Linked DNA regions of Diceros bicornis minor. The protein of the gene in region 2 purifies or fractionates together with the protein of the main gene of each other region. This does not show direct contact. Links are inferred from orthologs where the notes say so. Each region holds a gene or a part of one and is shown on either strand. Other genes may lie near its edges.

Region 1 (3,743 bases), on a different chromosome or scaffold from region 2:
CTGCCCCCGGCCCCCCGGGACAGAAACTGCTTATCATCCGCAGCGCTCCGGCCACCGAGCTGCTGGAGAACAGCAGCATTGGGGGAGGCGCCGCCACGCTGCAGCTGCTGGCCCCACCGCCACCTGGCCCAGCCTCTATCCCCGCGGGCATCCCTGCGGCGCCCACTTCCCAGATGGTACAAGTGGTCCCCGCAGGAGCTGTGCCTGGGGGCATGACCCCACAGGGCTTGCCCTCCATCCAGATTGTCCAGACTCTGCCCGCAGTCCAGCTGGTGCACACGTTTTGAGTAGAACCACTGGTACCTCTTCCCGCCCCACACGGAGACCCCGACTTTCTGTCTGCCTGGGTTGGGTTGGGGGCAGGGGTGCTGCAGGCCGGGCTTGCTAATAAAGACCAGAACCTCCTCTTCTGTGTTTTGTTTTGGTGGGGAGGGGCGCGGAGGGAAATGTCATGGCCATAACCACCGGTTGGGAGCTTGGAGTCTTATCTCTTGCTTCCTGGCTCGCAGGTGACTTGCTTTGCGTCTTGGCGTCAGCCACTTCTATGTGGGGCTCGGTTTATTCTTAAAAAAGGGATGCAGTGGTCAGTATAGTGGGGAGACGTTGGAATCCAGAATCCGGATTCAGCCACTTGTTCGCTGTAACTCACCCCACCCCTCCTCTCATCTGAAAGATAGGTGGACGGGAATGCTTATCTGAAGGTCACTGAGAGCCCAGGTGGGTTGGCGTGGAGGTTCCTGGGGTGGGGGAGTTTGGGAGCTAGTGGGCTCGGGATGCTGGCGCGGCCTCTCCCACGAAGGCCCCGGAGCCAATGAGAATTGATCTGCTCGCATCGCCGCCCCCTCTCAGCGCTCCGGTTGCTTAGCAACCAGGGAACGTCAGGCTGCGAGCTTGAGCTCACCCTCCGCGAGCCGGGTGAGTACCGCTCCCCGCCCCACCCCGCCGGGTCCCACCGCCCCCATCCCCTCCCTGCCGGCCCCTCCCCCGCCAGCGTCTGCTCCCGTCTTCCCAGAGGCCCCCTTCTCCATGGCTCCTTCTCCCCTGCCCCACCCCCGCCGCTCCCTGCCCGGTCCCTCCCAGTCCACGCCCGGACTCCCCCGAGCCCCCGCCGGGAGCTTGGCAACAGTTGCTAAGGCCGAGTGCAGGCGCCGCCCCGCCCCCCTCCGTGCGCGGTGTGACGTCACTTCCGCCGGCGACCCCTTCCCGACCCTGCAGCCCCCACGCCTTGTCGAAGGATCGAAGCGACCTGCAGAGGTGCTTGCGTGTCCTTGCTCCTGCGACTGTGGGGGGGAAGGGGCGCCGGGCGCCGGGGTTGGGGAGCGCGGCCCATTCCCCGGCTGTGGGGGGAGTTTCGCTGACCACCCCCTTCCCCGGGGCAGCCCCGGATCCTGGGCGGGGGCCCCGGGTTGCAAGGTGTTGGCGTTCACAGGGCGCTTAGGGGTAGATCGCTGAACACCACGGGGCGGGCGGGAGGCGGGACCCCTGGAGACTTGAGAAAGGTCGCTGGGTGGAGGGAGGCCTATGCTGCCTCGGACCTTGCTTGGGGACCCCAAGCGTCTGCAGTGTCCTGATCTGGGACGTGCTGCTGCTGGTCCCCACCCCTGGGGCGCTTTGGGGACGAGAGGTGCCCTGCTGATGCTCACTGCTTGCTTTCACCAGGTGCACGCCTGCTCCCTTCTGGGGGAGCGGGAGCCTGGGGGCTGCCATGGCCCCCAGCCACCTGTCTGTGCGGGAGATGAGGGAAGATGAGAAACCGCTGGTGCTGGAGATGCTGAAGGTGAGAGCCGGCAGGGGCACCATGAGCCTGGGGGGCAGGGAGGGGGCACCTGGGGACACCATGAGCCTGTGGGGGGGGAGGGGGCATCTGGGGGCACCGTGAGCCTGGGGGGGGGAGGGGGCATCTGGGGGCACCATGAGCCTGTGGGGGGGGGGAGGGGGCACCTGGGGGCACCATGAGCCTGGGGGTGGCAGGGAGGGGGCACCTGGGGGCACCGTGAGCCTGGGGGGCCAGGGACCCCAGTGTGAGTGGCTTCGGTCACGTGCCTGAGCCAGCCTGAGCCAGCCGGGACCCCTGGGGAGCCATCATTTCCTCCTAAGCCGCGTCCTGGCACGGCTCCTCCTTTCTCTAGCGCCCTCTCTCACCCCTGGGGGTCAGGCGGGGTGTTAACAGCTGGAGGGCTGTGGAGCTGACCACGCATCAACTTCCCTTCTCCTTCGGGAGCGCCCACCCTGGATCCCTCCCTGGCAGGGCCCGTTCTCTCTCCCAGTCCCTGGTGCCCACGGGGGCCCTATCGTGACGGAGGGCCAAGCCTCCCCGCCCTGACTACCTGTCTTGCCCACAGGCTGGTGTGAAGGACACCGAGAACCGCGTGGCCCTGCATGCCCTGACGCGGCCACCAGCCCTGCTCCTCCTGGCGGCGGCCAGCAGTGGCCTGCGCTTCGTCCTGGCCTCCTTTGCCCTGGCCCTCCTCCTGCCTGTGTTCCTGGCTGTGGCGGCTGTGAAGCTGGGCCTGCGGGCCCGGTGGGGCTCGCTGCCTCCACCAGGCGGTCTGGGGGGGCCCTGGGTGGCAGTGCGCGGCTCGGGGGACGTGTGCGGGGTCCTGGCCCTGGCCCCGGGCTCCAGCGCCGGGGATGGGGCCCGGGTCACCCGCCTCTCCGTTTCCCGCTGGCACCGGCGCCGAGGCGTGGGCAGGCGCCTGCTGGCCTTTGCCGAATCCCGGGCTCGAGCCTGGGCGGGGGGCATGGGGGAGCCCCGGGCCCGGCTCGTGGTTCCGGTGGCCGTGGCAGCTTGGGGCGTGGCGGGGATGCTGGAGGGCTGTGGGTACCAGGCCGACGGGAGCTGGGGCTGCATGGGCTACACGCTGGTGAGGGAGTTCAGCAAGGACCTGTGACTCCAGACCCAGACAGGGAGGGAGGAACACCAACACTTAGGGAGTACCTACTGTGTGCAGGCGCATTCATGCCCTCCCTCCGTGAATCCCCAGCCCACCCAGGGCCCAGAAACAGGTCTGCAGAAGGCAAGAGACCCCACCGCAGCCTGATGGCTGTCTGTAGTGTTTGAACTTCTCAGAGAGGTCAATCTGTCTAATCCCCTGCCTCAGATTCTGTCTGCACTGAGAAATCTCGGTCTGTCTGTCTGCAAAGTCTGCGCTGTTTGTGCTATGGGCCTGGGAGAGGGATGTGGGGTGGAGAGGAGGCCGAGCACAGCTGTCCCCCCAAGGGTTAGGACTTGGGGTGGGGACGTGGAGGATAGGGACAAGGCCTCTTGGGAATGGGCTGGGGTTTGATTCCTGTGTTTGGAGGGGATGAGCTAGCTGAGCCTTTGCAGGGGAGGGTTGTCTGCCTAGGGAGAGCCCCCGGGGAGGAGGGGATGAGCTCAGGGCTGCCTGGCCCGCTGGCCCTTTCCGGGGAAGGTGAGAGCCGTGAGAGCCGAGAGGGCCGGCCAGGCCCATCTGGGTTTTTACACTCGTTTGTTAATAAAGCCTGGAACTGCTGTGCACCGGTCTCCCTCTCTCTGATGCCTTTTCCAGTCCACCGCAGAACCCCCCTTCTGTCTGGCTCCTTGTTCCCCGAGTTGACATTAATTGTCGGTGGGGGTGCTGGACGGGGAGAAGGGAGGCGATGAGCTCACGGCAGGCGCCCCGCTCCCTGCCAGCCCTCTGACTCACGCTCCCCATTACTGAATTTTTTCCGCCTCACAGCTGCCTGGTGCAGAGAGTGACTGTGTGTGTGTGTGTAGTTCC
Region 2 (3,743 bases):
TCCAGAGGAGGGAAGGGATGTCTAGAGTTGTCTCTATCTAAGCCTCCCCCAGCTTCACTTGATTGGAGGTTGAGTTCTGTATGGAGAAAAGGAGATAGGTCAGGGAAGGCAGGTCTATTACTAGTACATTCGAATTGCCCGCTTGCTCAGTCTGAAGTCCTAGAGTTGCTTTTTCTGCCTGATTTGATTCGACTAACTTTGAGTTCTGACTAAGTTCCTGGCACCGTGTCCTTTAGTCTGACAATTTTAATGGAGAATAGGAAATGAGAGAGATCCACTAGATGCTGCAGAGAAAAATTCCTCGTTAGGGTGTGGGAGAGCAAGGAATGGCCAATGAGTGCCTACTAAATTTTAGGCCCTAGCTTAAGAGCTGGGGATACAGCAGTGAAGACAACAGATGAAAATCCTTCCCATCATAGTACTTAAACTCTAAAGGGGTGGGGGAGACAATAAATAAGTAAAATACATAGCGTTAAGTGTTGAGAAAAATAAAGGGGATAGGCAGTGTATATGTATGTGTGTGGGAAAGGTTGCAATTTTATTTAGTGAAGCCAAAAGAAGGCATTTCAGAGACGATATTTGAGTAAAACACTGAAGGAAGTGAGAGGAAAATAGAATGTTATGTGCCATAACTGTCTTAGTGGTTGTACATGCACAGCTTCTGGTTATTTGTAGGCAGTTTGTCCCAATCTGGCCTACTCACAGCTCAGGAAGAAATAATGAAAGACCTACTTTTCTAGATAATGTGGGAAGTTGAAAAAAAGGAGGCTAGGCCAGTAAGAAACCTGGCAGAAGATAGCAGAAAGTTCTCTGTTCAATGGTTCCTGGAGAAAGAGGAAAAAAAAAAAAAAAAAATCAAAGCTTCCTGTCCCTTTAAAAATGGCGGCTCCGCAGCGGCCGACAATACCATTGATTGGCAGGAGGGGCGGGGGCGGGGTGGGGCGCCGCGGAGTCCCGCCTCCTACGGCAAGTCGGAGGTAGCAAGATGGCTGCCGCTGGGGCAGACTGTGGTGTTGGGGCCGACGCGGACCGGGAATTGGAAGAGCTTCTGGAAAGTAAGAGCCCGTATTGGGAAAGACCCAAAGAGGGTGGGTGTCAGGACCAATTCAGGGGGTTCAGTAAACTTGAGATATTTGGGCGGAACAGGAGAGGCTTTGTAAAGGTTGGACTGGGGGGGGAGGGTCTGACTGCGAACCCGAAATCACTCTCCCTTTCCTGCGCGGTGGGGGCTGGGGAGCCCACCTCGGGTCCCTGAGCGGCCCAGAGCGTTGATCTCCCTGCCTGAGGGGAAGCAGTAATCCATAGGACGGTGTTTAACGATCCCGCCCCAAACTCCCCTTACTTTAGGTTATTAGTAAGTTCTTGAAGTCTAATTTCCTTCCCGCCAGCACCAACACTCGGTCCTTGGTGGTCAGCGAACCTGACACTCACGGATTGTTTATATTAACTCTTAACAAGCTCGTAGTGCGTCCTTCTATGCGCTGTCCTGTCCTCCTTAATACAAAAGACACTTCTTTCCGTCTCCCAGTCCTTTCACCTTTCTCTCACCAGGCCCCTTTCCAGTTCTTTCATCATGTCAAAACTCGAAACGACTCTTTTCCCATTATTTTGAAAAACTGAGAAGAGAGGCCTCAAGGGAAGACAGTTCGCCCTCTTGAGGGTGGATGTGCTTTTCTTCCTTAGCCCTGTCCACTTCTCTTTTGGTTTCTTGCCCAGAGTGGGGACAGTGTCCTCCCCCAAGGCCTGGCAAGTAGAATGGTGGTGAGGACACAGGCTTCTCAGGGAAGAAGTGAATGTTTTTTTCTCTTGCCCTGTCACAGAGATGTGGGCAGGCAGAAAGATGAACAGAACGGGTGAGGAGTGCCAAGTGACTCTGTGAATTGGTATACGGTTATCTGCAGAGATGAGGCCAGAGAGAGCACTGGCAGCTCTTAGGAGCTTAGCTGAGGAAAGGCTAAATTGAAGGATAAGAGAAGAGAGTTTAATGTCCTCCGGTGGAGTGTAGTGTGGAGTCCCTCAGTTTGTGGTAGTACCAGGACCCATGGGAAGCTGGGTGGGACATCTTGTGGCTTCTACCTTCTTGCCAAAGATTATTCTCTTTAGGGCTCCAGAGTGATTTCAGTGGGGTTAAGGATATCTGTGTTCTCTGCTCCTGTTGAATATTCGTATTGGATTTCTGGGGAATCATTAGAGTGTGGCAAAGAAGGCACTGTGTAGATGGAGATGTCTCTGCCGAACTTCTTTTAACTCTCTTCTCCCAGCTCTGAGACAGATGCTTGTTCCATCTCAGGGGCTTTCTTCCCCTTTGATCACAATGAATTAGGTAATGGGGAGGAAGAGGGAGGCTTGTTGAGGGATGGGCCAGGAAAGAGAGTTTCAAAAAAAAAAGGAGAAAACTTTAGGAAAGTTGGCAGTTTGCAAGATTGTGCTTTTAATGCTTTGCCCAGAAACCCCCCAGCATTGCATCTTCATCCATCCCCAACACACACCATGTCTCTTGTCTCTGAAGGTGCTCTTGATGATTTCGATAAGGCCAAACCTTCCCCAGCACCCCCTCCTACCACCACGGCCCCTGCTGCTTCGGGGCCCCAGAAGAGATCGCCAGGAGACACTGCCAAAGTATAAATTCCACCCACTTAAGGGAGGGGGAGGGGATGGGCATGCAGTTCTGAGCAGAGGTGGGGCAGGCCCCTGTGGGCCAGAGGGGTTGGGAGGAGGGTGCCTTGGCCTCATTGCTGAGTGCTCTTGCAGGCCTCAGTCCTTGTGAAACAGGGACTTAAGGTTGAGTGGAGGAATCGCAAGGAGGTTTCTTGAGAAAAGAGCAGATTTAAATGGTTGGATTGGGAATGCCTCTCCATATCCTTCCCTGAGTGGCCAGATGCCTTTCTTGCTGTCCTCATTAAGAGAAGTAGTTAGAATGTCCAATGGAGGTGGGTAGGAGGGAAGCACTGCATTTCCCAGAGCCACTGCCTGCGGCTTCTGTTAGAGGCCAGGTGCAGTGGGGTGCCAAGTAAGAGATGCATTTTGACCACTCCTCCTTGCAGGATGCCCTCTTCGCCTCCCAAGAGAAGTTTTTCCAGGAACTGTTCGACAGCGAGCTGGCTTCCCAAGCCACTGCAGAGTTCGAGAAGGCAATGAAGGAACTGGCTGAGGAAGAACCCCACCTGGTAGAGCAGTTCCAAAAGCTCTCAGAGGCTGCTGGGAGAGTAGGTGAGGAGGGGGCATCAGACAACTGGAAATATCTGAACAAATCTCTTCAGTCATTGTTGTTTGAAAACAACAAAATTCTTAGTAAAGTTGATTGTAGTCATGATATCACTGCCATGGAGTGGGGCGAGGAGATGGGAGGAGGGATGAGACCCTCTTTAATGAAAGAGATGAGATGGGTTGGAAAGTAATAGAAAAGATGATTGAAAACGGACCATTTTAAAGGTCACAGTGTTATTGTAGGTGTCATCGTGGAGAACAAACTGACACACAGTCCATCTAGAGAGGTGAAAATGACTATGAAGATAACCATAGCATATTCAAAGATTTGGAGTGCTAGTGATTCACTAGTAAATGTTCCGTATCCAAGCTGTTAACCAGGTCAGACTAGGTAAGCAAACAGTTAAAATCCTAATTGACCTTGGCTCTTTTGATCTTTCCTAGGCAGTGATGCGACTTCCCAACAAGAATTCACTTCTTGCCTAAAGGAGACATTAAGTGGACTAGCCAAGAATGCTACTGACCTTCAGGTGAGG
Region 3 (3,743 bases), on a different chromosome or scaffold from region 2:
AAAATGCATTTGCCTTTTTAAATCCAATTTCATAAAGCAATCTTAATATAACTGTAACCTGCTACTCACCTCTTACTGATAGAGATGTCCAGTGAAGACAAAAATGGAGGTTGCTATGCACTTCACCTCAGAAATGCTATCATATACTCATGTCCTTCCAGTACTAGACTAACTAAATCATGACTTATAACTCACAGCACCTCATTACACTTAAACAACATGGGGGCTTACTCTTGAAGAGTTGTAAGGGGTAAAATGGTCTGCCCAAATTAAACAAAACCCTGAACTTAGTGATCTACCAGGAAGTGAAAGCTAGTTGTGTGCTCTTTATTCATTCTGATTCCGATTTGTTGTGTCATCAATTTCTCTCCTCAAAACTCCAATCAAACATCAACCACTATGATAGTTTTTTCCCATTTACACTCTTCCAACCCACTGCTCAATTTACGAGGGAAAAAACTTCAAAATTATGGGGCCGCCCCGTGGCTTAGCCGTTAAGTGTGCACGTTCCGCTACTGGCCGCCCGGGTTCAGATCCCGGGCGGACGCACCGCTTCTCCAGCCATGCTCCCACATACAGCAACTAGAAGGATGTGCAACTATGACATACAACTATCTACTGGGGCTTTGGGGAGAAAAAGGAGGAGGATTGGCAATAGATTTTAGCTCAGGGCTGGTTTTCCTCAGCAAAAAGAGGAGGATTGGCATGGATGTTAGCTCAGGGCTGATCTTCCTCACAAAAAAAAAAAAGCAGAACTCCTGCCTCAAAAAAAAAAAACAAAAAAAAACTTCAAAATTAACTACAGTGAAATCTAATCAAGGAAATTATAGAAAAGTGAGAACTTGCAAAGAAAAAAAAATATCACAGCATTTGCATTTCACTCTCAGTTGTACACTGATACTTACACAGGCTGTATAGCACACACATCAAGAGCTCAGGAAAGGTTCTGGAAAGATGGACCTGGCTTTAAATCTGACTACCACTCACTAGCCATGTAAACTAAGCATGTTACTTCTTAAGCCTCGTATCCCTCATTTGTAAAATAGGGACTGTAAACAGTATGAATCTCATAGGGTTGTTGTAGTAAATGCAATAATGTATGCTAAGTGTTCAGTAAAGTATTTACAACCTCACACTCAATAAATGGTATTCTAACTAGCAGTGCCTGAGAACTAAGGTTTTTGGTAAATACTACTGAATTAATGAATATACAGCACATTTTATACTAGGAAATAACTGTACCACTAACTTTCATTCTATCCTAAGTTAAATAATGATTAACAACAGCAATACTGTTTGGGAGCATTTTACAGTTTACAAAGCCCTTCAGACACCCATAAACTCATCAAACTCATCCTTACGAGGTTAACGTTTTTAAGATACGTAGTTTAGAAATAAGGAATGTGGTATTCATCAGGGCAACAAAGAGCCAAGGTTACCTACCCTAGTGGTCTCCTCCATTCAGATTCTCCAGCTCAGAAATAAGTGCTCAGTGCCAAAAGTTCTTAACCCAACATCCACTAAAAGGAGGCAGATTCCTGCCAAGTTCCCAACCTCCTCAAGCACAGTCAAGCACGTGATTCCAGGAACAAGCCCAGGGTAATAAACCCGGTCGGAAGCCACGGATGACACTTATAGCGCCGCACTGTTTCCTAACGTGGTGTCTGTCCTCCCGCGCCTTTCGGGCGGGGGCCACCCTGCCCTCTCCCCCACCAGAGCGCCCAACACAGGACCTGGCACCCAGCGGCCTTCAGTCAATGTTTGTAGAAATGGTAGAGGATGCTGCTAGGAGGCTTTCCAGACCCGAAACGAGACCAACTCCGCAGTGGGGATTAAACATCTTGGTAGATCCAGAGTCGTTGGGCGGAGAGGGTCCCAGCGGTAACGTCCTCGGGCTGGGAAGATGGCTGAGGACTGGCGCCGCTAACGGAAACCAGGGTGGTTGACCCGAGGGGACACGGGACAGGGAGGAGGCGGGTCTGACTGCAGCCATGCTGGAAGGCCGGGGACCGACAGAGGCTCGGGGCCGGGGGCAGCAGGGCAGTTGGCGTCTGGGGGGGAGGGGGCCGCCTGCTGGTCTGAGAAAAATCTCGGGCCCAATCTGAGGAGAGTTCTAGGCTCCTCTAAGGGCCCGCTCCCCAGCCCGCGACGGCATTTGCTGCACCGAGTACTCGCTGCTACCTGAAACTGCAGCAGCTTCTCGGTCTGCTCCTGGGTTAGATCCCGATCCTCAGGCGCCGCCATTTTGCCGCCGCCTCTACGCTTCTGACCCGTCCGCACCGTCACCCGCCGGAACTGACCTCAGCAGCAACCACGTCCGGTCTGAACGGCCGCTGGCGCGCAACTGCGTCTGCGCGTGCTGGCCCAGTCCGGGGGTTGGTGGTGATGACAGTTCCCGCCGCCAGAGGGCGCCACCCTCGGGCCGATCCCGAACACTTCCGGAAATTGCCGAGGGACTGTCGGCACCAGTCGCCCTCACGATTTAGGCGAGGAACGGGTCTGCTGTAGAGACCCAAGACCCCTGAATAGACCGCAAAGAGCTGAGAGGTTCCGAATGCGGCACGAGCAGCTCCGGAAATTCCCGAATGCCACTCGGCAGATTTCGGCTGCTCTCTAACCGTTTTCCCGTAATCTCTAATATTCCTGAATATTTTTTAGGAGATTGTGGCCGTTCCAAAATATTGACTGTTTGATGTTTGATTCCTGCCCTGACGTTTCCAAAAGCTCCTGACTATCTCTCGGGAGGTTCCGAAAGTCTCCGAATACTGATCGGGCATTTCCGACGCCGCCTTCGAGCCGGAAGCTGTGAAAGGCTTTTGCCGCATGAAAATCGCGGCTTCAAAGTCGCTTGCTGGGATTGTTTGGACTCGGCTGCCTGGGTCTTGGGCGGTTAATGGCGCTACCAGCCTTGGGCAGAGCTTTCCTTCTATCCGCGCTGCGACGGTGCGGGAGCCCGGCCTCTGCTCCTGCCTGCCTCAGGCCCTCTCGCGGCCTCCGCCCACTGCCCGGTCTTCCCTGGACTGGGATCGGGAGACCTGGGGTCAGGTGGTAGCGCCCACCTTGCAAAGTGCTGGACATCCTTGGGCAAACCACCTCCCCTCTGGACTCCGTTTTGCCACTGGTGGAATGAGGCTCCCTAAGAGCCCCCGACATGCTGCTTCTGTGCGTTCTCCTTGGAGACAGTCCCTCACCCTTTCCACCGCCTCACCTCCGCCCCCTCCCCCCAATGTGTGCCTTCCTCTGCACCTTTCTAGCCGCTTCCAACCTGCCACCTCTCTTTAGATCGCCCTTTTCCGCTTCCGCTTCTTTTCTCCTGCCCTCGGCCTCCTCTGTCCACCCTCCAAAGGCCTTGGGGAGGCAGAGGGGTGTGGGTCTGGTGCATGCTTTTCCACAGACTACCTGTGACTCCCCATCTGTGGAATCCCACCCTGCCCACTTCACAGGGTTGGTGAGGTGAGACAGGACAGGAGGTGCTCTGGAAGCTGAAGTTCTGTGAAGGGTACGCTAGGGAATGGAAGGACTTAGGTTTTGGCTACTTCTTCCTTGCAGGCCTGTATCAGGTCTTACCAGGTCTGCACAAACTTCATCACAATGCCCTGGAATCTTTCTTAGACCTCTAAGGTAAAACTGGAAGCAAGCAAGTGCGACTTTAGAATTTATTACTTCCACTCAAAACTCAAAGGAGATGCAGTACTGTTCAACATCTCCAGTAATGTTGGATCCAGATGAATGAACTAGATGAG

What was found.
Region 1: the proteins of PEX19 (region 2) and NAT14 purify together in Homo sapiens (co-immunoprecipitation; 3 studies listed by BioGRID and IntAct, counting the BioPlex papers as one, with this or other methods). This does not show direct contact. The link is inferred for Diceros bicornis minor from reciprocal best matches to the Homo sapiens genes PEX19 and NAT14.
Region 3: the proteins of PEX19 (region 2) and FAF2 purify together in Homo sapiens (affinity purification with mass spectrometry; 4 studies listed by BioGRID and IntAct, counting the BioPlex papers as one, with this or other methods). This does not show direct contact. The link is inferred for Diceros bicornis minor from reciprocal best matches to the Homo sapiens genes PEX19 and FAF2.

What each region holds. Positions count from the first base shown.
Region 1 is NC_080773.1:33,458,568-33,462,310, forward strand, and holds NAT14 (probable N-acetyltransferase 14), read left to right. Parts: upstream 1-1,103; 5' UTR 1,104-1,254; intron 1,255-1,659; 5' UTR 1,660-1,705; coding exon 1,706-1,777; intron 1,778-2,342; coding exon 2,343-2,891; 3' UTR 2,892-3,497; downstream 3,498-3,743. UniProt on the Homo sapiens protein: Probable acetyltransferase. May act as a transcription factor that regulates the expression of coproporphyrinogen oxidase by binding to a promoter regulatory element.
Region 2 is NC_080743.1:64,951,180-64,954,922, reverse strand, and holds the start of PEX19 (peroxisomal biogenesis factor 19), read left to right. Parts: upstream 1-966; 5' UTR 967-985; coding exon 986-1,088; intron 1,089-2,509; coding exon 2,510-2,619; intron 2,620-3,044; coding exon 3,045-3,210; intron 3,211-3,651; coding exon 3,652-3,737; intron 3,738-3,743. UniProt on the Homo sapiens protein: Necessary for early peroxisomal biogenesis. Acts both as a cytosolic chaperone and as an import receptor for peroxisomal membrane proteins (PMPs).
Region 3 is NC_080740.1:89,695,476-89,699,218, reverse strand, and holds the start of FAF2 (FAS-associated factor 2), read right to left. Parts: upstream 2,298-3,743; 5' UTR 2,245-2,297; coding exon 2,182-2,244; intron 2,118-2,181; exon of another isoform or gene 1,462-2,117; coding exon of another isoform or gene 1,444-1,461; intron 1-1,443. UniProt on the Homo sapiens protein: Plays an important role in endoplasmic reticulum-associated degradation (ERAD) that mediates ubiquitin-dependent degradation of misfolded endoplasmic reticulum proteins.